Linked DNA regions of Drosophila melanogaster. The protein of the gene in region 4 interacts with the protein of the main gene of each other region in a pairwise test. Each region holds a gene or a part of one and is shown on either strand. Other genes may lie near its edges.

What was found.
Region 1: the proteins of Spn42Dc (region 4) and CG31688 interact in a two-hybrid assay, tested with the Drosophila melanogaster proteins (one large-scale study listed by BioGRID).
Region 2: the proteins of Spn42Dc (region 4) and Non1 interact in a two-hybrid assay, tested with the Drosophila melanogaster proteins (one large-scale study listed by BioGRID).
Region 3: the proteins of Spn42Dc (region 4) and CG15198 interact in a two-hybrid assay, tested with the Drosophila melanogaster proteins (one large-scale study listed by BioGRID).

What each region holds. Positions count from the first base shown.
Region 1 is NT_033779.5:20,426,899-20,432,385, forward strand, and holds the start of CG31688 (uncharacterized protein), read left to right. Parts: upstream 1-2,126; 5' UTR 2,127-2,263; intron 2,264-5,025; 5' UTR 5,026-5,487.
Region 2 is NT_033778.4:9,395,531-9,400,982, reverse strand, and holds Non1 (putative nucleolar protein 1), read left to right. Parts: upstream 1-2,248; 5' UTR 2,249-2,351; coding exon 2,352-2,399; intron 2,400-2,524; coding exon 2,525-2,799; intron 2,800-2,868; coding exon 2,869-4,504; 3' UTR 4,505-4,718; downstream 4,719-5,452. Other genes in the region: CG33774 (uncharacterized protein), read left to right, coding at 935-1,035, 1,115-1,136; l(2)k10201 (lethal (2) k10201), read right to left, coding at 1,229-1,894; ODA-Dnal1 (outer dynein arm dynein axonemal light chain 1), read left to right, coding at 4,903-5,054, 5,119-5,230, 5,285-5,452. UniProt on the Drosophila melanogaster protein: Involved in the biogenesis of the 60S ribosomal subunit. Required for normal assembly of the mitotic spindle. May be involved in both centrosome-dependent and centrosome-independent spindle assembly programs.
Region 3 is NC_004354.4:11,246,069-11,250,108, forward strand, and holds CG15198 (uncharacterized protein), read left to right. Parts: upstream 1-2,167; 5' UTR 2,168-2,340; coding exon 2,341-2,709; 3' UTR 2,710-2,817; downstream 2,818-4,040. Other genes in the region: CG44422 (uncharacterized protein), read right to left, coding at 679-1,399.
Region 4 is NT_033778.4:6,878,349-6,884,191, forward strand, and holds Spn42Dc (serpin 42Dc), read left to right. Parts: upstream 1-2,646; 5' UTR 2,647-2,729; intron 2,730-3,299; exon of another isoform or gene 3,300-3,408; 5' UTR 3,409-3,414; coding exon 3,415-4,290; intron 4,291-4,360; coding exon 4,361-4,502; intron 4,503-4,571; coding exon 4,572-4,765; 3' UTR 4,766-4,981; coding exon of another isoform or gene 4,982-4,994; 3' UTR 4,995-5,059; downstream 5,060-5,843. Other genes in the region: Spn42Da (serpin 42Da), read right to left, coding at 1-10, 497-521; Spn42Db (serpin 42Db), read right to left, coding at 970-1,142, 1,316-1,457, 1,516-2,367; Spn42Dd (serpin 42Dd), read left to right, coding at 4,982-4,994, 5,266-5,843.

The DNA.
Region 1 (5,487 bases), on a different chromosome or scaffold from region 4:
AAAATCGGGCCAAAATGTGCGAGCGTGTGCGTAAAGTGCGTGGGTGTGTGTGAAAGGTGTAAAAAATGTACATTCTGTGAATTGGCCACATAAAAAAAAGAGGAAAAAGAAAAGGAAAACGAATACGAGTAACGAGTGTAACGACAGACGTTATATTCGGAGGCGATTCGTAGTTCTTGTTTTTGTTGCCACTTCGTTGTTTGCCCGCAAGAGGAAGGCAACAACTTAGGCCCCAAAATGCCCAGAGATCTCGACTCCGGCTCCAGTTCCAAGACCGATTCCATAACCGATTCCGTCTCCGCTTCCGGCACCAACTCCGGCGAATCCGGGGTTGGCAATAGCTATATTCCCGGGCAGCAGCAGCAGCGTCAGCACCTCCACCAGCCTACTTCGCGCCCACCCACGCTGTGAATCCCCACAAATCTGACTCAGATTCAGATTTAGATAGCGATTCAGATTCAGATACAGATTCAGACAAAGATCAAAGTCCAAGAATCTCCAGCACCTACCTGCAAGCGCCACTGCAATTAGACGCATATTATCCACAAATCAATATTAATCACCAAATCAGCAAAGTAAGCACCGCTTTTCGTTTGTTCGAGCCACACACGCCAAACATAAAGCCAATCAAAACCCATAGAATGCACATACGAGCGCTTTTGTTTTGACCGCCAAACGTTGCACGCCTATCGCCGCCAAATAATCGATATTCGATTGGTAGCGCTTCGAAGGGGTGTAGCTAGCCATGCAATGCGGTTTCCTCCTCGTGAGGTCTAATTATTGAGTATTTACCATTATTTAAGTTGCATTATTTTGATTTTTCTTGAATTTTAAATGCATTGCAAAATTATCGCAAAGTCCACGATAGTTTCGATAGGTTTTTGCTTATCAGAAGGCCAACAAAGTTCGGTTTAACCAGCAGAACCAGGCATATAATATATAATATCCAACTCTTTTATTTGTAAGTGCTTGATTACAGTTTATATGTGGGCTTAAAAATAGAATACTAAACCTAAATGTAAATTAGAAAAATGTGGTACCTTTTTGTTGCTTAAGCTTTCTGATTTTGTAAATGGAAATAATCTTCTATATTGTTATAGTATATAATGTGTTTTAACTAAAGAATTAAGTAGTAGAAGTGAAAGATTTTATATTTCATTAATTCTGTTCAATAATGCCACCTATGCTGATTTCAACTAGGGATTACTTAAAAATATTAAACTACTACTCAAGTTGGACATGCTATGCGATTTTATTTGGCCTAATGGACTTTGGTGTAGATAATGTGTTTTTTAAGTATTGCTCTTGATTATAAGCGTTTTCATGGTTAAATGCTTTTAAACAATTCGTTTAATTTGCAACTGAACTTTAAAATTAAAAATAAATTTACAATTCCACTAGTCAAACACTGGATTTTTCACTTGATCTTATACCTTAGCTTAATAGCATGCAATTTTACGACTAATTTTTGATGGAATCCACTTTAATTTGGAATACATTTCTGCGGCAATAACAAGTTTAAAATAGGCGTCTAGGGCAATTTTCTCTGTATTTCGCACTTTTCGCAGAGTGGCGTCGAACCAAGAAGGCTGTTCGAGTAATGTTTGAATGAAAAACGTGAATGTACTCTTCGCTTGTGTTGGTGTCCACGAATGGAGAACGTGTGTGTATGGGTATGACGTGACGTCACATCATAGGAAGATAATTACTGTAAAAATTGTGTGTTAAGGCATAAAAACAAAATATTAAAAAAGAAAATGCATACTCTTTTAATTATAGTCAATATGATGCAAATTATTTTTGAAATCGAAACAATTTGTGGAACTGAAATCATTTACGAGAATATAAAAATATTTCCTAATTGAAGTTAGCTTGCTGTTAAGTTTCGTTACTAAACTTTAGCTAATTAAAAATACCGCACGGCTTACGATGTTTAAATTAAATACCGAAAAGATTGTGAAAAGCGCGCGAAGGTGAATTTCGTGGTACGGACCCTATATCTGTGCTCCTCTAACGCAAGCGTCGCTTACGGGCGACCCAAACGAGCAGCATCGTGCCGTTGCCTCGCACACTTCACCTCGGGATCCAATCAGATGTTCAGTGCCAACTCGAACGAACGCGTCGAACCAAAGTGACAGCGCTGTGTGTTCGACGTCGGATGTCGTGGGCTCTATAAAGTTTACTCTCCCCACAAGTCAGTGAATGCGGTTGAAATCAGTCGTAAAATACAACAAAGGCAGCGCAGCAGTCTCGCAAATTAAATGTAATTAAGTGCATTTAAGTTTTATACCTACGTGCTTCGATTCCCAATTTTCCTGTCAACAAAGCGCCGAAAACCCCGTGCTACCCAAAATCGCGGCTGTTCTCGCTCCTCTTGTTTTAGGGAATTTCGCGTGTGCTGTCATCGGAATATTCATTGTGTTGCTGCGCGTGTGTTTGTGCGGAGAGCGTGGTAGAAGCTCCACCACATTTGTTATGTCAATAATTAGCAGCCCCAAAAACGAAGCCAGAAATGCGTTGAGGTTGAGGCGTTGATCAAATGGGAAGCACTCCCGGCTTGCCCCGCTTTTCCCGCTCTGTAAATCGCCAAAAAAACTGCGCTTGGCCATCACGTGGAGAATTGATTTTTTGCCAAAAAACGCGACGACTTCATGTGTTCTTTCTTTCCTTTTGTTGGGAAATCCAATGGGAGAGCGGGCTCTGTTTTCCAGTCCAATTGGATTATGCCCGGCCGGGCTTTGTCCAATTGCCAGATTCTTGTTGGCGCTGCTGTCTCCTCTTTTTGAATTACATTAAATATTTAAAGCATATGCAAATTTGAACAGTGGCCCCGTAAAAGGAATAAAGGACCTTTACCTGGCCGCGTCCTCAACGTGCATCCCCCCTCCCCCCCGTGGTTCTTGTTCTTCTTCCTCGGCTCCTCCTGTATCTGTAGTTGTTGTGGTTGTTTTAGTTGCTGCTGTGAACCAGATGACACGCCTTCGGTTTCCCAGTTCCCTGTTTGGTCTGCCAGAGATGAGAGCGAACTAATCTCTTTCCAAATATATTATATTTAAAACCCCTTTCTATTTAAGACAGTTTATTCTTAAATATCAAAATAACCATATGTTATATATTTTAACTGGTAGTTTGATTGCGAATCTTGTTCTTTTCAGTTTATATTTTAAGTAAATACAAATCAAGGCATCTGAACCAACCAATGCCACCCGTCTTCTCTGGAATCTAATTTCAATTCTTTTAACAAAAATTCTGAAGAATGCCTGCCAAATCCCGATATGGTAACAACTTAGCTTCGCCCGGGGCTCATCTCTATTTGGCGGCCTTTCTTCGGGCTTCCAGCGCCTTTAGTGTCGTGCAAATCGTTTTTGTGGTAAGGGGTAACCCTTCTTTTTTCGGGGGTCTGTGGGCCTGGGCCTTTTCTTTTTGCACTTCCTCGTTTTTAGTGTTTTACTGCTTACCCAAATGCCGACACCCGAAATCACTCACACTCGTCGTGGTTTTCCTTTGCAGCAGCTGTGGCTTCCATCTCCGTGCTCCCATTTTCCACGCCTTCTCCGTTTTCCCCGATTCAAATGCATTTCGATTGCTTCGTTATGTGAGTGCACTCAACTTGGGAGCTGCGTGTGTGTGAGTGAGTGTGTGTGTGTGTGGAGGAAGAGGGATTCGTAAACAGTGTTTTCCTTGATGCCATGTGTCTGTAATGCAACGGTTGTCTATCCTGCGCCGTCTCGTGTCTTTTCCTAGCTGCTGTTTCCATTTCGCACGAACGCTTTCCCGGCCCAACAGTTCCATGTCCTTGTCACCCCTCAAAAGCCGCCCAAACACCCAACCACCCAACTGCCCCTTGCCCCGCCCCCTTTTGGCCCACTTGGGCGACACGTGCTCATTATGCCGCTTCAAATTTTACTCCACTTTCCGACTGTCGCTGCCGTGCGACTCCTTCTGCGGATGTTCCTTGAAACAACAGTTTGCTTAAGCTATACGATCCAAAATCAAAAGGGTGAATTTTTTAAGCCTACATTTAGCTACATTTATCCTTGATCAACAGGATATAGGCATGTCCATCTGTTGTCCGTCCGTAAGTTCGTCCGTTTCAACGCAATCAAGTCTCTCCCTCTTAAAACTACAATATCTTAATGAAACTTTACCAAAAATTGTTTAAAAATAAAAAGAAAAAATCAAAAATGAATTGGATTAAAATCGGACGAATATAACATATAGCTGCTATAGGAAGAGTGGGAATATTAATTGAAAATATTAGAAAATAAATCATATCTTCGTTGTTTTTCACCATAAATACTTCTCTACTTTTGGCTTAAATTATTAACTTACATAAATACACATTTTGTTTAATGTACAAAATGCCAGCCAAATCAACCAGCCATTTGGAGCAATACAATCAAAGCACGCTATTATGGCCCGTGACCAAATGTTGGAAGGGTCACCTCTACTACCTCTGGCTCATTGATAACCATAACAATCTTGTTTGCTGTTTGCACTTGGCAATTAAAAACTTGTTGATTGTGGGCGCTCCAGTGCTCGTACTCTGGGTGGTGGTACTCTAGTGGCAACTACCCACAATATGGGATGATTCCACACAGCCAAACTGCAGCAGCCGCCCAAGCACTAATATTTGATTTATGTGAGCTAGTCCATGGTCTGTGGAGCCATAAAAGGTTGTTTAGGGAGATGAGATGATCGCCCTTGGGGCTGACTGGTCAGTAAAGACCACTAAGACCACTTCCATTTAGTTGCTTATTAACGCTTGGATACTTACAACCGTGTATGATTAATAGCACTTGTTCGCCAAAGACTTGCACACTTATTTATTTTGATTTTTCAACCCTTTTCTGTACTTAAAATAGCTTAACTACTTAGAATAGATATATATATATATTTAAGTTCTCTTTCGTAAACTGCTATGTGCTTTAGTATAAGTATTGTATGATGATACCTGTCCAATACCATGGTACAATATCTAACCAATAATTCTCTATATATATCTCTCTCTCTTTTGTTTTGCAGTTGCTGATAACGTATACAAGTGGCAATAACAGAATAAATTAAGCCGGAAAAAAGGTCGAAAGGCCAAAAGTGAAATCCAATCCGGTGTGAAAACCAGTGCAAAAGTCAACAACTTGTGGGAGTCGAGCGTTCGTCCTCGAGTCCTTGAATCCTGCCAGTGTGCTCAGTGCTTTAAGTGTGCCAAGTGTGCGTCTGCGTGTGCGTGAGCGTGAGCCTGTGAGTGCGTCCGGGTAGCGGAGAAGCCACAACGTCGTCCACAAAACCATCGACGTCCACAGCCGCCGCCGCCGCTGCTGCTGCTGCCGCCGCTGCAGGTTCGGGATCGGGACAAGGTTCGGGAGCGGGTGCGGTATCAGGAACTGCTCCAGGCCACCAGAGGAGCGGCGGACGAAGCGGCCAGCGACGTCGCAGTAGCAGCGGTAATCCACACGCCGGCACAACGAAAGCGACCAGTGGCAGCGG
Region 2 (5,452 bases), 2.5 Mb from region 4:
AAGGACTCGATGTTCTTACGGCTTTCTTCATGGGGACAGTGAAGCCTAGCTTTGCGAGCCTTCCCAATTAATTTATTCCTGTACTGGCATTTTAAGAGCTGAGCGTGAATGTATGTGTTAGCTGCAAGTGCACTCGAGTGCCTTCTTTAATATTTAAACTAGAGCAATTGAGAGATCTGTGTATGACGATAGCTATACTAAATATTTTTAACTGACGCAACAATTTCCACAAAACAAGTGACCTTTAAAACAGAGCTGCGCAAAAAATATATGAAAGCAATAAGTATTATGTAAACTAGTTTTAAGCTTTGGATACGGAAAGATAATTAAAATATTTCTAAGATGGCCGTTAAATATGTTAATTTATAATTTTTGGCGAGAATTTACAATTGTTCGCTGAATATTTTTATGAAAATAAAATAGAATTAAGAATATGGTTTTGTTATTTGTAGTAAAAAGGTGATAACGAGTTTTGGATTTCAAATGTTATGGAGTTATTGAAATAAAAATAAAATATGGTGGAAACCTTTTACTTTTTATAAATGACGTTCATTTTGAAATTGAAAAAAAAGAAAAGAAAACGATTTTTTTTTTAAATATCCGGTTTGGTATATCTGGTATTATTTATGGTTCGCGAGGTATATCGGTATATTTTAGTGGTCGATCTACGGTCACGCTGAAATATTTGTACACAATAAAAACCGGCTCGTTTTTTCGCTGAAAAAGGTAATAAACTAAAGTTAATGAACGCAAACGAAACAATCGGTGAAGTTAATCGACAAATGAGATGCATAATCCCGCGTTGCATTTTGGTGGATACAGAAATAGGCCAGAAATCGCGATTTCCACACCGCACCCATGACGTGTCACTCGCCCACTTCGTTTCTAATCAATTAGTTTGTTTTTATCCATAGAACGTGTTACTGTCTGCAAAATGATCACCGACGTGCAATTGGCCATTTTCTCCAACGTTCTGGGCGTATTTCTGTTCCTGCTGGTGGTTGCCTATCATTATATTAATGCCAATACCGGAAAGTAAGTAATCCCACTTGGTGAAGAAGAGGAAGAAGACAGCCCGGAATCAACAATAAAACCGATTTTCATTTATTTACAGGCCCAGTGCCAAGGCAAAATGATGTAGGATGTTTCCGCTAACAGACTAATATAGTTCTACCAGGATAATGATAATGCTGCTTCATTCGCAAAATAAATATGTAGTTGTACAAATCTAATCCAGGATGTCGTTAATGGCCTCCTTCATGGCCTGGACATCGTCCAGTGTTTTGCCAGATCTCTGATCTTTGCCTGTGTAGAAACTCCTCTGCGTTTGATGTCCAAAGCTGAAGGCCTTGACGTAGGGCAAACTTTTAGTTTCCTCTATCACCTCGTCCACCTCCATGGAATTGGGTTTGCTTTTGCCTTGATGCTTCTGTTTGCCCCTATTCTTGCTATGATCAAAGCGATAGTTTGCCGGAAGCTTGTGCGTTATGATGCAGTGATCCTTGCGCTGCCGGGCAGTATGAAACTTGATGGTGCACTCTTCCAGAAAGCAGGAAAACATGGGCTTGTCACCGCGCTCCACGCTGGCGGCAAAATAGCAATCGTGCTGTTCGGTGATGTGCAGATCCAGTAGATGGGCAGTGGGCAGCATTTTTCGGCATTCTACGCAGCTGTAGCTCTGCTCCTTATCTATGTTGTCCCTGATCCTAGCTGCCGCCGCATCCTGCTCGCCCAAGATGTCATCGATGTCCACGAGAACGCCGAGTTTCTTGAAGGGCGCCAAACTGGGTGCAGGCGGATCCGTGGGCTTTATGAATCCCGCTGGCACTTCGCTTAGTATCCTGATGATTTGCTCTCTGGAGAGAAGTGCTACTCCCGCAGCTTCCGAATCCATTTTGTTTGTGTTGCCAAAATGTTTTGTTTTGGTTCCTACGCCAGTTTCAACATGTTTCCACTGTACTGCCTCTTGGAAGATGTGATTTTGTTTAATTTATATAAAAATTAAAAATAATTTCCTTTTGAATTGAAATAGTAATACAATTTTTGAAGTGCATACGTAAAATAGACATAATTAATGAATTGAAATACTCGCTCATATTTTAGATGGATATATTTCTATATTAAACAACTGCAATTAAGTTGAAACATCTTAAATGCCTTTGAAATGATGCCACATCGCCAGACTTAGTTACGCGGGCTGGCATCGCCGTGCAGCACATGTGAACCTAAACTGGTTCCGCCCGAGAACCGGTTCTTTTTGGAATACGAAGCTGACACCGCGTGGTGTTTTTGCTTTCGATTCCGCATTTATTTTCCTTTCGACGCGTGGAAAATAAACAAATCCTGCCAAGATGAGTCTGTACAACTTCAAAAAGATCATGGTGGTTCCGCCAGCAAAGGTAAGGTGTACCCAGCAGCGCCCGTCCCGCGGAGCACCCCTTGAAGCAAAGACATAACCTCACTGGAGGTGTTTACCAATATGCGCAATATGTAAATAATATTTTATTTTTTGCCCTTTCCACAGGACTTCATCGACATTATGCTGTCGAAGACACAGCGCAAGACCCCGACGGTGGTCCACAAGGGCTACAAAATATCCAGAATCCGGGCATTCTACACGCGCAAGGTGAAGTACACGCAGCAGAACTTCCACGATCGCTTGTCGCAGATCATTCAGGACTTTCCCAAACTGGACGACGTGCATCCTTTCTACGCCGACTTGATGAACGTGCTGTACGACAAGGATCATTACAAGCTGGCGCTGGGTCAACTCAACACAGCCAGGCATTTGGTGGACAAGTGAGTGCCAAAGTCACAGATCCCCAAACGAACAAGGTTCGATTAACTATTCTATTTTTTATCCCGCAGTGTGGCCAAGGACTACGTGCGCCTGCTGAAGTACGGTGACTCGCTGTATCGCTGCAAACAGTTGAAGAAAGCTGCCCTGGGTCGCATGGCCACCATTATGAAGCGACAGGCCTCCAATCTGACGTATCTGGAGCAAGTGCGTCAGCATCTCTCGCGTCTGCCCACCATCGATCCCTATTCGCGTACCATCATCATCTGCGGTTTCCCCAACGTGGGCAAGTCCTCGTTCATCAACAAGATCACCCGCGCCGATGTGGAAGTGCAGCCCTACGCCTTCACCACGAAATCCCTGTACGTGGGACACACAGACTACAAATATCTGCGCTGGCAGGTCATTGACACACCCGGCATCCTGGATCATCCCCTGGAAGAGCGCAATGTGATCGAAATGCAAGCCATTACTGCCTTGGCTCATTTGCGCGCCTGCGTCCTGTACTTCATGGATATCTCCGAGCAGTGCGGACACTCCTTGGAGGAACAGGTCAAGCTGTTCGAGAGCATCAAGCCTTTGTTTACAAACAAACCCCTCATCCTGGCCATCAACAAGATCGATATTCTAACACCAGAGGATCTGCCAGAGGAGCGACGAGCGATTATCACCAAACTACAGGAGGACAAGAACATTCCCGTAATGCTCATGTCCACCGTACAGGAAACCGGTGTCATGGAGGTGAAAACCGAGGCATGTGAGCGTTTGCTCTCGTACCGTGTTGACCAGAAGATGCGCACAAAGAAGGTGGACAACATCCTGAACCGCTTGCATGTGGCGATGCCAGCGCCGCGAGATGACAAACTTCGTGCACCCTGCATCCCAGAAAAGGCCTCGGCGCGCCTGCTACAGAATGCCGACAAGGCAGAGCGCAAGCGCAAGCTGGAGAAGGAGATCGAGGAGGAGATGGGCGACGACTACACGCTGGACCTCAAGAAGAACTACAGCGAAATCCCCGAGGAGGAGCGCTACGACATTATTCCAGAGTTCTGGCAGGGTCACAACATTGCCGACTACATCGATGCCGACATCTTCGACAAGCTGGAGGAGCTGGAGCGCGAGGAGGGACTGCGGGAGGAGAGCGGCGTCTACAAGGTGCCCGATATGACCATGGACGAGACGCTCAAGGAGATCCGCGAGATAGCCAAGCAAATCCGTGGCAAGCGCTTCGAGCTGCGCGACGAAAAGCGACTGTCGTCGCGAAAGAACAAGCCAGTCATCCCACGAAACAAGCAGCCCAAGGTGCGTGACCGTTCCGTACAGAAACTGGTGTCGACGATGGAGGGCCTCGGTGTGGACATGTCCGGCAGCGAGAACGCCAACTTCACCAAGTCCGTGGTGGATCTGCGTCGTGGCCAGGTGGCAGTTGGCTCCAAGAAGGTGCCCATGCAGCCGCTGCTCGACAAGGAGTCCTCTGCGGTGGTCAGGAAGACTGGTCAGCCTCTGAAGCGGGCGCCGTCGCGCGACACACTGGGCATCAAGAACTTGGCCATTCGCAAGAAGGCGCAAATTATGGCCAAGCGGGATATTGCCAAGAAGGTCACAAGCAGGGGTCTCAAGGGCGAGGCGGATCGCTTCATCGGCACCAAGATGCCGAAGCATTTGTTCTCCGGCAAGCGTGGAAATGGCAAGACGGATCGCCGTTAAGCGCCGCAGCCTTGGCTGGTTAAGTGATTCTACCTGGTGGGCTCGCCTGCTCCTCTGTATAAACTAAGCGTCTATCTTTATCCCTGAAAAACATTTTCAATACAATATTGTATTTTTACAAACAAATTGTTTATTTTTCGGGGACCACACATCACACACTCAGTAAACTTTGGTGGAATTTTTGTATCATAAAAAGCAAAGAGCCTTGACTTCTGGAAAAGTTTATATAAAGAGAGAGACCTGAAAAGCATGTGCATTACTATTGTCTTTAGCACAAACAAAGTTTACCCCCATGGATATTTGCTCGTTTCTTACTTCACCTTGGCAACGTGGAAGTTTGTTTGGTTTTTACCAATTTTCTTGTCCAATGAGTAAAAGTTGTTCGGCACAGCAACATCATGTCCAAAGCCACCACAATTAAGGAGGCTCTGAAGCGCTGGGAGGAGCGGGAGCAGCAAAATTCCCTGACTGCCAAGGTTATTGATCTGCAATTCCAGTGGCCACCCATCGAGAAAATGGACAGCACATTGGGTACGCTGGTGCAGTGCGAGTGAGCTTAAAAGTTCTTAGTTCTTCGAGGAAAATGAACTCCTACTTTTCTGTTTCCCCTGCAGGAGAATCAGTATGTCCACGAATATGATTGAGAAGATATTCGGCTTATCGGGCATGAAGTGCCTCAAGGTATTGTCCTTATCACGGAACTACATTAAGCAGATATCCGGGCTGGTAAGGACGAATTAGATAGGTTCCATTAGCACATCATTTGCTTCTCTTATGTAGGAAGCGGTGGCTGAAACTCTGGAGGAGCTGTGGCTCAGCTACAACCTAATCGAGAAAATTAAGGGTTTGACTGGTCTGAAATGCCTGAAGGTGCTCTATATAAGCAACAATTTGATCAAGGACTGGTCGGAATTCAATCGCCTGGCCGAGATCGAATCTCTCGAAGAT
Region 3 (4,040 bases), on a different chromosome or scaffold from region 4:
CCAACCTCAAGATGCGCACAAAAACAAAAAAAAATATGTATATCTGCAACGCGGCCAGGCCAACGGCTGTGGATTCATGGCCATGAATTGACCCAAACTGAAAATGGTTAGCACGTTTTTTGGCAGGGGTTAGTCATGGCCAACAATCGGGTTAAAGGCGGCGCGGTTAGGGTAAGGGTTAAGGGGTTCTACGGGTGAAGAACAGACATTGCCGCTTACGCTTTGCGATGCAGCCCCAGGCAACCAGCAGAGTTTTCACAGCTACACAGAAAGAAAAAAAACAGAAATCAAAAAGAAAAAATCAAATATGTAAAGTACACTCTGAAAAGAATATAAAACAGAGGGTGACAAGTGAAAGTGGAAGAGTGCTTTTGAAAAACTAAAACTTTACAGTGAAAAAAAAAACGCTCTTTAGAAACAGAAATCATTAATGATAATATTTAAATTTTCATTTGTTAAAAAGGTTAAATTTAACTACTTTTTTTAACCAATTGAAATAATATAATTCAAAACAACTTCTTAAGAAACTGACAAATGTACTTTAATCATATCACATATCTAAGTTTCGGGTTTCCCTCTTTCCTTACAAGAAATTATCTAGCTCAAAACTAGAAGCTTAGGAAAATGCATGAAATGCCCAAGTGGATGCAGTTGCTCCTCTTACAAAAGCTGCCTTACCATTCTGTGTGGTGCTGCCTTGGAAGAGGTTCCGCAGATACGTGATCAGCCGCCGGTGGAGCGGTCGATGCCGATGGCGCGATGATTTCCTATGCGAGGAGGAGGACTCCTGACCGCCACCGCCCTGCTCCACATCTTCCACGTCCAGGGTGGAGACAATCGCTGCCCCCGAGCCCGCTGCACCCGAACCCGGACCACTGGCCACCAGCTCCTTGCCGCACTGACTGGCGTCCACAATAATCTCGATGCTGCGTTGCGTGCTGGACTTTTTAATGCCCAATGCCGCCGTGGAGCAACTGCTGCCGGAGGGACCACCACCGCCACCGCCGGAGTTAATGGTGCTGATGAGGGCATCTGTGACACTGGATCCGGTGCCAGCGATGCTGCTCACCGTCTGGTGATGCATCTGCTGCTGCTGCTGGTGCTGCTGGACCGCTCGACCTGTGAGCAGGTGATGCTGGGCGCTCGAGGGCAGCTCGTTGACGGTGCCATTGCTGTGGCTTCCACGATAGATGAGCTCCGTTTCGTTGCTCACCTGGCGCAGGGCATGCAGTCCGGTGTGCGATGCACTGCTTGACATTCCGGCGGAGGATCCACCACCTGCGCCGCCGCCTCCAGCTCCTCCTCCTCCTCCGCCGCCGCCGCTGCCGGAACCACCATTTAGACCCGTGTAGTAGGCGCTATTCGGTCGCTGGCTGTGCTGCACCTGTGGCCCGGCCATAATGTTTCTCTCAGTGTATGTTATGTACTGCTGGAGCGGCTAGAGTTCCACCTCCTTCTGCTGCTCCTGTTCCTGCTCCCGATCCTCTCTAGCGGCTGGCTTTAATTGTCGCTGGCTGGTTTTAGTGGTTTTAGTAGCATATTGGACAGTTACATGGTTACGGCGGTCACTTTGTTAGGCAGATTGGGGTTAAGCGGTGCCGCATCTGCGAGAAGCGAGTAAAATCGAGCAGAATATATATGTTAGTTCCGATACTAAGGCATTTAGGTCTCTAAACCGATCAATTTCTTTAATTTAATTTCATTTGGGAATTAATTAGTTTCCCAAAAACAGTACAAACAAACTGTACCAAATGCTTTCGAAGCTGGGTACTTTATCGTGTTCCCATATTATTTTCTAATTATCTTAATTTGATCGGAATAGAGTAAATAACAAAGAAAACTATTTCCAGGAATTTCCATTTATTCCATTTGCCAGCAGCGTTGCATTGTTAGTATGCGTGCATGCGTATGTGTGTGCGTGTGTGTGCGTATGTGAATTATAAAGCTGTTGTAAGCGCACTTGTTAGCCCATTTTAATCCTATTTACTAAATGATACACTAAACTAGACAATTGCCTTCTCAGTAAATTGCGGCTAACTAAGTTGCCAATGCACATCGATTGAGATGCTAACGCACATTGTAACCTATTAAATTTATGCAAAATATTACAACTAAATTAAACATTTGTTATCCCAAGTAAGTAGGCCTCGCAATGAAACTCGCATAGATAAAACCATCCGTGTGGTTGACTTTTGTTCAGTATTGGGGCAAACCTTACACCGAACAGTTCGGAAAACTAGCCAAAAAAAAAAAAATTCAAAATTTTTCCGTGTGAATAACTCCGTGTTTTTCCACATTTTCTACCTTTGCCGTTTAAACGTTGCTGCGCTCACCATCACCATGAAAACCCTCGAGTCCGACGACAAACCCTTCAATCCCTTCTACATTGGCCCACATCCCAGCAAGGCGTGTGCCATTCCCGAGATTCCCGGCCAGCAATGCTCACCCAACTGTCAGCCAACTACTACGACCACCAATGGTTCTCCAACGGATGCAACGGATCCCAACAGTTTGCCCAGCGGAGCTGCGGGCGGCATGGTAATCGTGGCCAACATATATAGCACCGTCGAGGTCCTGGCCGCCGCCGCTCGTATGGGCGGAGCAGCGGGCACTGGAGGGGATCAGGGTGCGTCGTCTTCCAACAACACCACATGCAAGCCGTATCCCTGCATGGAGGGCGCTCGCATCGATGGTCCTGGCTGTGGTTAGAACCAGAGGAAGTTCACATTGGATCAGAAAGCTTTATCTACCAACTGGCTATTTGAATAGGCTAACTCGCAACACCAAGCTAGCCCCAAATACAAAAATAAAAGGCCCAGAAAAATAATCCATTCGTATTTTTTCTATAGTCTGTCGAAAAATGATCAGTCTTTTTCCTACAGCAATGTAAATAGTTGTCCAAATATGGAATGCCATACCTCGTTGAACTCGTCATAAAATTGTCTTTCGAATGGCATTCACAGTTAAAAATGTAATTTTTTTTCAATTTTTCGCAAAAAATGATGATGTTACCCCTTATAAAAAATCTGAAAATTTGAAAAAAATCAATTTTTTCAAATTAACAAAACGGTTACAGAAATCGTTTATTTGGATCATTAGCTGTATAAAACAGTAATTTTTTTGAATAAGTGACCATTTTTGGCCAAGTTATAGCAAACTGAATTCTTCGAAAAAATCATCATTTTGCCAAAATGAAACACCAATTTTTCAACAAAATATAATCATTATTTTGTTCATAGCAATAAAGTTATTTATCCAAACATGGAATGCCATACCTCGTTGAACTCGTCATAAAATTGTCTTTCGAATGGCATTCACAGTTAAAAATGTAATTTTTTTTCAATTTTTCGCAAAAAATGATGATGTTACCCCTTATAAAAAATCTGAAAATTTGAAAAAAATCAATTTTTTCAAATTAACAAAACGGTTACAGAAATCGTTTATTTGGATCATTAGCTGTATAAAACAGTAATTTTTTTGAATAAGTGACCATTTTTGGCCAAGTTATAGCAAACTGAATTCTTCGAAAAAATCATCATTTTGCCAAAATGAAACACCAATTTTTCAACAAAATATAATCATTATTTTGTTCATAGCAATAAAGTTATTTATCCAAACATGGAATGCCATACCTCGTTGAACTCGTCATAAAATTGCCTTTCGAATGGCATTCACAGTTAAAAATGTAATTTTTTGTCAATTTTTCGCAAAAAATGATGATGTTACCCCTTATAAAAAATCTGAAAATTTGAAAAAAATCAATTTTTTCAAATTAACAAAACGGTTACAGAAATCGTTTATTTGGATCATTAGCTGTATAAAACAGTAATTTTTTTGAATAAGTGACCATTTTTGGCCAAGTTATAGCAAACTGAATTCTTCGAAAAAATCATCATTTTGCCAAAATGAAACACCAATTTTTCAACAAAATATAATCATTATTTTGTTCATAGCAATAAAGTTATTTATCCAAACATGGAATGCCATACCTCGTTGAACTCGTCATAAAATTGCCTTTCGAATGGCATTCACAGTTAAAA
Region 4 (5,843 bases):
AACCAGCAACCTGTAAGTATCCAAATCGACCGTGGATGAGGTGTGCTCGTTTTCATAAATTTATGTAATTGCAGTGTACTGATGAGTCACCTCCACAAACGGTGTTCACTATATCTCTCCGGTTGGCCGTTTCGCCGGGGATTCACTAGCTTGATTATCGGAAAGGGTAATTAACTGCCTGCTCCGACTGCTGGTACTGTTTTTCACCAGCGGCTTCGAGTGTGTAAATTAATTTCTTTTTATAAACCGGCTATCGCCCTCGACTTTTATAATGTGGCCTTTGAGCAACAACTGAATTCTCTCAGCGAGCGTACATTGTTTTTATACTCGCATATGCATATGTATTCCCCCACAAAACAATGATTTCTCTTCAGTTCGTGCTCCCAAACGGGTTTTTCTCTCGCCTGCCTTCGGTGTTCTCATTGATTTCACTCTTTACATCCATAATGCGTTTTCTTTCACTGGCTTTTTAAAGTCAAACTGCCGGATAACTCACCACATGGCACCAAACGATAATCCATACTCAGTAATTTTGCTTACAGTAAACCTAGTCTGCAAAGCGTACGTAATAGACTGGCCTGACTTCAGGTCCACACGATTTACTGCGACCTTATCAGCCAAAGCTCAGCTTGAGCTTGTTATTGTCTTCGACAATAATGGGATTTTTTCCGTTCCCTGATAACAGAGGAAAGCTGAAACTGAAATCATTCCCTACCTAAATTTGTTTATTATATTTTGCCAAAAATTCTAGGGAGAAGTCAATAGAATGAGTCAATAGAATCGAATAACACCCTTTATATACCTTCAAAGGCAGATTTATGTTATAATAATAAATAATAATAATAATAATAAATAATAGATAATTCCTACACGTTTAATGTGTCAAATGTTTAATAAGTAACTTAAGTGGAAGTACAATTTATTTCTCAACTATTTCCCACGCCAAAGATATACATATTTATTTTTCCTTTAGGTACATGTGTTACATTTTTCAGACTGCTCAACCTTGGTTGTGATAAAATGACCGGCAAATAGAAGGCCATGGGTGTTGTCCTTTATAGCATAGAAGAAAGGTCTATTAGCGTGGAATACCTTTGGAGGTCCTTGGCGCGCAGGCATGCTTCTAAATGTGGCAACCGCAGCTGAACAAGAAGTTTAAATTAGTTAATGCGAATATATACATATTTGAGTGAAATTTTTAATATTGGACTTGCTTAGCACCTCGTATGACATTCGTAAGAATATCCGGAGTACTAGATATAAGAGGCTTTCAAATTGCCAAAAGTTTTGGAACCTTTTTTTTTTGCAGGCTCACCCGTTGCGGCTGCAGCTTCAGTGCCCACTTCGTTAATCTCGATAAATGCTTTGTGGACGATCTGGGAGACAAAAAGGCTTTCCTCGGATTGTAGCATTCCCCCAAGCTCTGCCTGACCACTGAATATTCGGTTCATGCCCATCTGTGAGTAGCCAGGTTGCGTATAATCAAATTTCAATAACAAATCCATTTCAGCTAACCAGCATTAAAACCTGGGATAGTTCTTGCTGGAACTCGGCTGTAAAGCTAGGAATCTTCACATCCACTTTTTCCAGATTCATTGCTGATGACACTACCTCTAGGGAAATATCACTAAGTTTCTTTTCGAGGCTCGTGAGATTCGACTTCTCATCAGGAAGTAAAATGATCATGGCCAAATTACAGGCACTATAATTCATTCTAAGGGCAGTGGCTTCGAACATGGGAAGTACGGCAAAAAAGAAGTTCTCGCACACATGCATCATTCTCACTCTGGTAGGTCTATCCGATCCGAAGAAATCCTCTTCGCGGGTTTCTTTTTCATTGAAACTGATTGACCACTCACCCTTGAAGTGAATACCGTTTACTAGGCACAGCCGCGAGTCCTTGGTAAGAACTCTTGGACCGATTATGTCCTTGATCAGGTTGTTGGTCTGTGACTCCACCCATTTGTTGATTATGCTGGCAGCCTGCTCGCTGCCAAAGTCAATCTCCATTGGCTTGGAGCGAAACTTCTGCTCTAGTATGTGACCAAACTGCTCGTCAACTTGGAGACCCTTCATAACATATAGGCCGTTTGCCATTTTAAGAACCTGGCACTGTTCATAGGACTTGAGGACGACACCAAAGCTTTCAGCTACTTGCTGAGCTTCTAGCCCACCGAAACGGAGCCCCTCGTCCATCTCCTTAGCTGTAGCCGATCCCTCGGATGTTCCCATCCGCAGCATGGCCGCAGAGATGTGGATGGATAATGGGGAGTAGATGATGTTTAGGCCAGCACTTGCCCGGCACAAATGGTCGTGCAGACAAAGAGCGAATTGTTCCAAGCCCTGTGCGAACTCCTCATCTTTCATGATGAAGAAAGCAGACGATCTCAGGTTAAATATGTTAAATATGCGTCTACGATAGAAGAATCAGTGAGTACTCATTTTTCGAAAGAGATTCAGATTGACTTATCAGCAGTTTGAGCAAATATTTTAATAAGAAGCTAGATGAGCTATCAACACCATTCCAATTTCGGGTACGCCAGGAACTTCTCTCCGTCGAGAGCGCTTGCCACTTCAGACTCTCTTGGAATTTATCTAATCGAGTTGCAGTTCGTTCAGTTCTGACTTACTGCGATTCGCGGCGTTAGTCAATTCCGCGCAGTTTGACGGAAACCACGCTCATTCTCCGGCTGCCTTCCGATTGTATCCGTGAGATTGTTTTTTCCGGTGTAAGTTATCAGCGCACCCATAGGGTCAGCGACGCCCTCACCTGTTTCGCCGATCCAAAATAGCTTATCAGTGCACGTAGAGAAATTTATTGTTTCATGTCCACATTGATCGATGATTTGTAAATTAAAGAAATTCCGAAACTTACTTAGTAGGCTAAGTTACGGTAATCTAAATATGCAGTAATCCCCTCTATGCAGTAGAGGGTATTGTTAAATTTTAAATATCTGAAAACATCAACAACCTTATCAGGTGACGTGTGTTATTTTATCTTTGAATTACTATCGCGTCGTTTGCTATAAGGCAATTTGTTATGACGAAAGCAAGTTCTAGTTGACTTCACTTTACTTTCTACATCGGTTCTATTAAAAATATAATAGGGAATTATTATTATTATTTTAAAATAAATAGTAGCACCTAGTAGCAGTTGTAAGCTAATACGTCATTCTGGGATTTCGGATTTATTTTTAATTAGCATAGGCAATTTTGAAAATGTTTTATTTTATTAAAGATTGAATCCGAATTCGAAATTGTTCTGGATTGATCAAGTTGGCGCTTAACAGCTGGCGATAATGCCAAATGAGATAATGAGATTTGGCCCGAAAATGTCTTATTTTTGTATACTTATGTTACATTTAAGTATTTAAAAATATAAATTAAAACATATATTTTTTTGCCCAGATCGAGATGAGCGAACCCCAAGAAGGCAGAAATCAGTTTGCGCGAAATCTGATAGATGTCATTACCAAAGATGCCCTGCAACAGAGCAAAGACCCCCACATAAATACGGTTTTCTCTCCAGCATCCGTCCAAAGTGCATTGACCTTGGCATTTATGGGGGCTTCCGGATCTACAGCAGAGGAGCTAAGGAATGGGCTTCAGCTAGGACCAGGAGATCGCCATCACATAGCCCTAAACTTCGGAGAGTTCTGGCGCACGAGCTGTAACTACGGCGACAGGGGACCCGTGTTGAAGTCCGTGAACCGATTGTACGTCAACGATTCCTTGGAACTGCTTACCGAGTTCAACGAGATCGCCGTGGACTTCTTCCAGTCGAAGGCCGAGGCGACGAGGTTCGCCGATTCGGAGGGAGCTACGCAGCTGATCAACGACTGGGTGGAACAGGAGACGGAGCATAAGATCACCAACCTGCTTCAATCGGATGCCGTGAACAACGAAACGAGCGCCCTGCTCATCAATGTCTTGTACTTTAAGGGAAAGTGGCAGAAACCATTTATGCCAGAGACCACATCGATTGACCATTTCCACGTGGACCGGGACACTCACGTGCAGGTGAATATGATGTACCAAGAGGACAAGTTCCGGTTCGCAGAACTGCCACAGCTGAAGGCTCGAGCTGTGCAACTGCCCTATGATTACTCAAACATTCACATGCTAATTCTGCTGCCCAACGAAGTAAACGGTCTGCAGGAGTTAGAGCAGCAACTCAACACCGTGGATCTAGCCGATATTGACGCAGCGCTGACCTTGCAGGATGTCGAGATCTTTCTGCCCAGGATGTGCATAGAGTACGACGTGGACCTCAAGCAGGTACTTAATCAGGTAAGATACATTTAACCGATAATAGTGGCTTTGTTTTAATAACAATGTAATATCTGATATTTATTCTCAGCTGGGTATTACGGAAGTCTTCAGCGATAAGGCCAAGCTAGACGGGCTCTTTACCTCGCAAAGTGGCCAAAAAATCTCGGCAGCAAGGCACCGCGGCTACATCGACGTAAATGAGGCAGGATCGGAGGCAGCAGCAGTCAGTTGTAAGTGAAATCAGCTGCTTGCAACTCAAACTTGCTCGTACTAATCTCAACTCTGATTCCCACACTCAGTCATGAAGATAGTACCCATGATGCTCAACATGAACAAGAAGCTCTTCAAGGCGGATCACCCGTTCGTCTTTTACATACGAAACCCGCAGGCCGTCTTCTTCGCCGGCCGATTCTCGAACCCCAAGTCTGGATCTGGATCAGGAGAGGAGGGCTTGTCACGGGAAGGTTTCGATGCCAACATGTACAATGTCTAAGAACAGCAGTGAGACCGAATAGAACTCAGCTATGAAATCCCACTAGACGTCATTGGATTTCAATCCGAGAGAGCTGTGTGCGCAGTTCTCAGTAACGTAATGAAGTATCGCCAGTAGGTACATATATGTCCAGTGCATATATGAGCTCGTCTTGGCACTCGGCGCTCAGTTTACAGAGATACTTATCTCGGGGAAGAGTTCGTTGTAGACGGTCAAATGTATTACTTGTGTAAGTGGCGATCGCTTATAGCCAGTGAATTAAAATACAAAGCAATAAATTACCTATAATAACTTATGATTTAAATTAAATTCATAGAAAATAATAAAACAATATGGTGAAGACGTTTGCTATGGCATTAACTTTTAACTTACAAAGACTATCCGCTTTCGTTGAATTCGATTTGCTTTAGTCTGTAAAAGTAAAAAATATCAAGTTTAATATGCATGAACAGAATTTCCGAACGCTGAAAACGAATTGATAATTAACATCCCCAAACTAGGCATTTTCCTGTGGGTCACTTCAGTGGCATGTCAGACCTCCAAAGAGATCTACCAACTACTTTCCAAGAGCCATACAAACCAGAACCTCGTCGTCTCGCCCGTCTCCATAGAGACCATCCTTAGCATGGTCTTCATGGGCGCAGAAGGCTCGACGGCCAAGGAGCTGCAGAGCGCCTTAGGTTTACCATCGGAGGACAAAGAGGCGGTGGCAGCCAGGTACGGTGCTCTCCTCAACGATCTTCAGGGACAGGAGGAGGGACCCATACTAAAGCTCGCGAATCGCATCTACGTCAACGACCAGTACAGCCTGAATCAGAACTACAACCTCGCTGTGAGGGAACCCTTCAAGTCCGAGGCGGAGTCCATTAGTCTGACCAATGGCCCTGTGGCGGCCGAGAGAATCAACCAGTGGGTGCTGGATCAGACCAGTGGTAAAATCAAGGGCATGATCGATCCCGGCAGCATGACGTCCGACGTGAAGGCCTTGCTGGTGAACGCCATCTACTTTAAGGGCCAGTGGGAGTCGAAGTTTGACCCAGCTAAGACCAGAGCCTCCACCTTCCAAGTAACTGCGAAC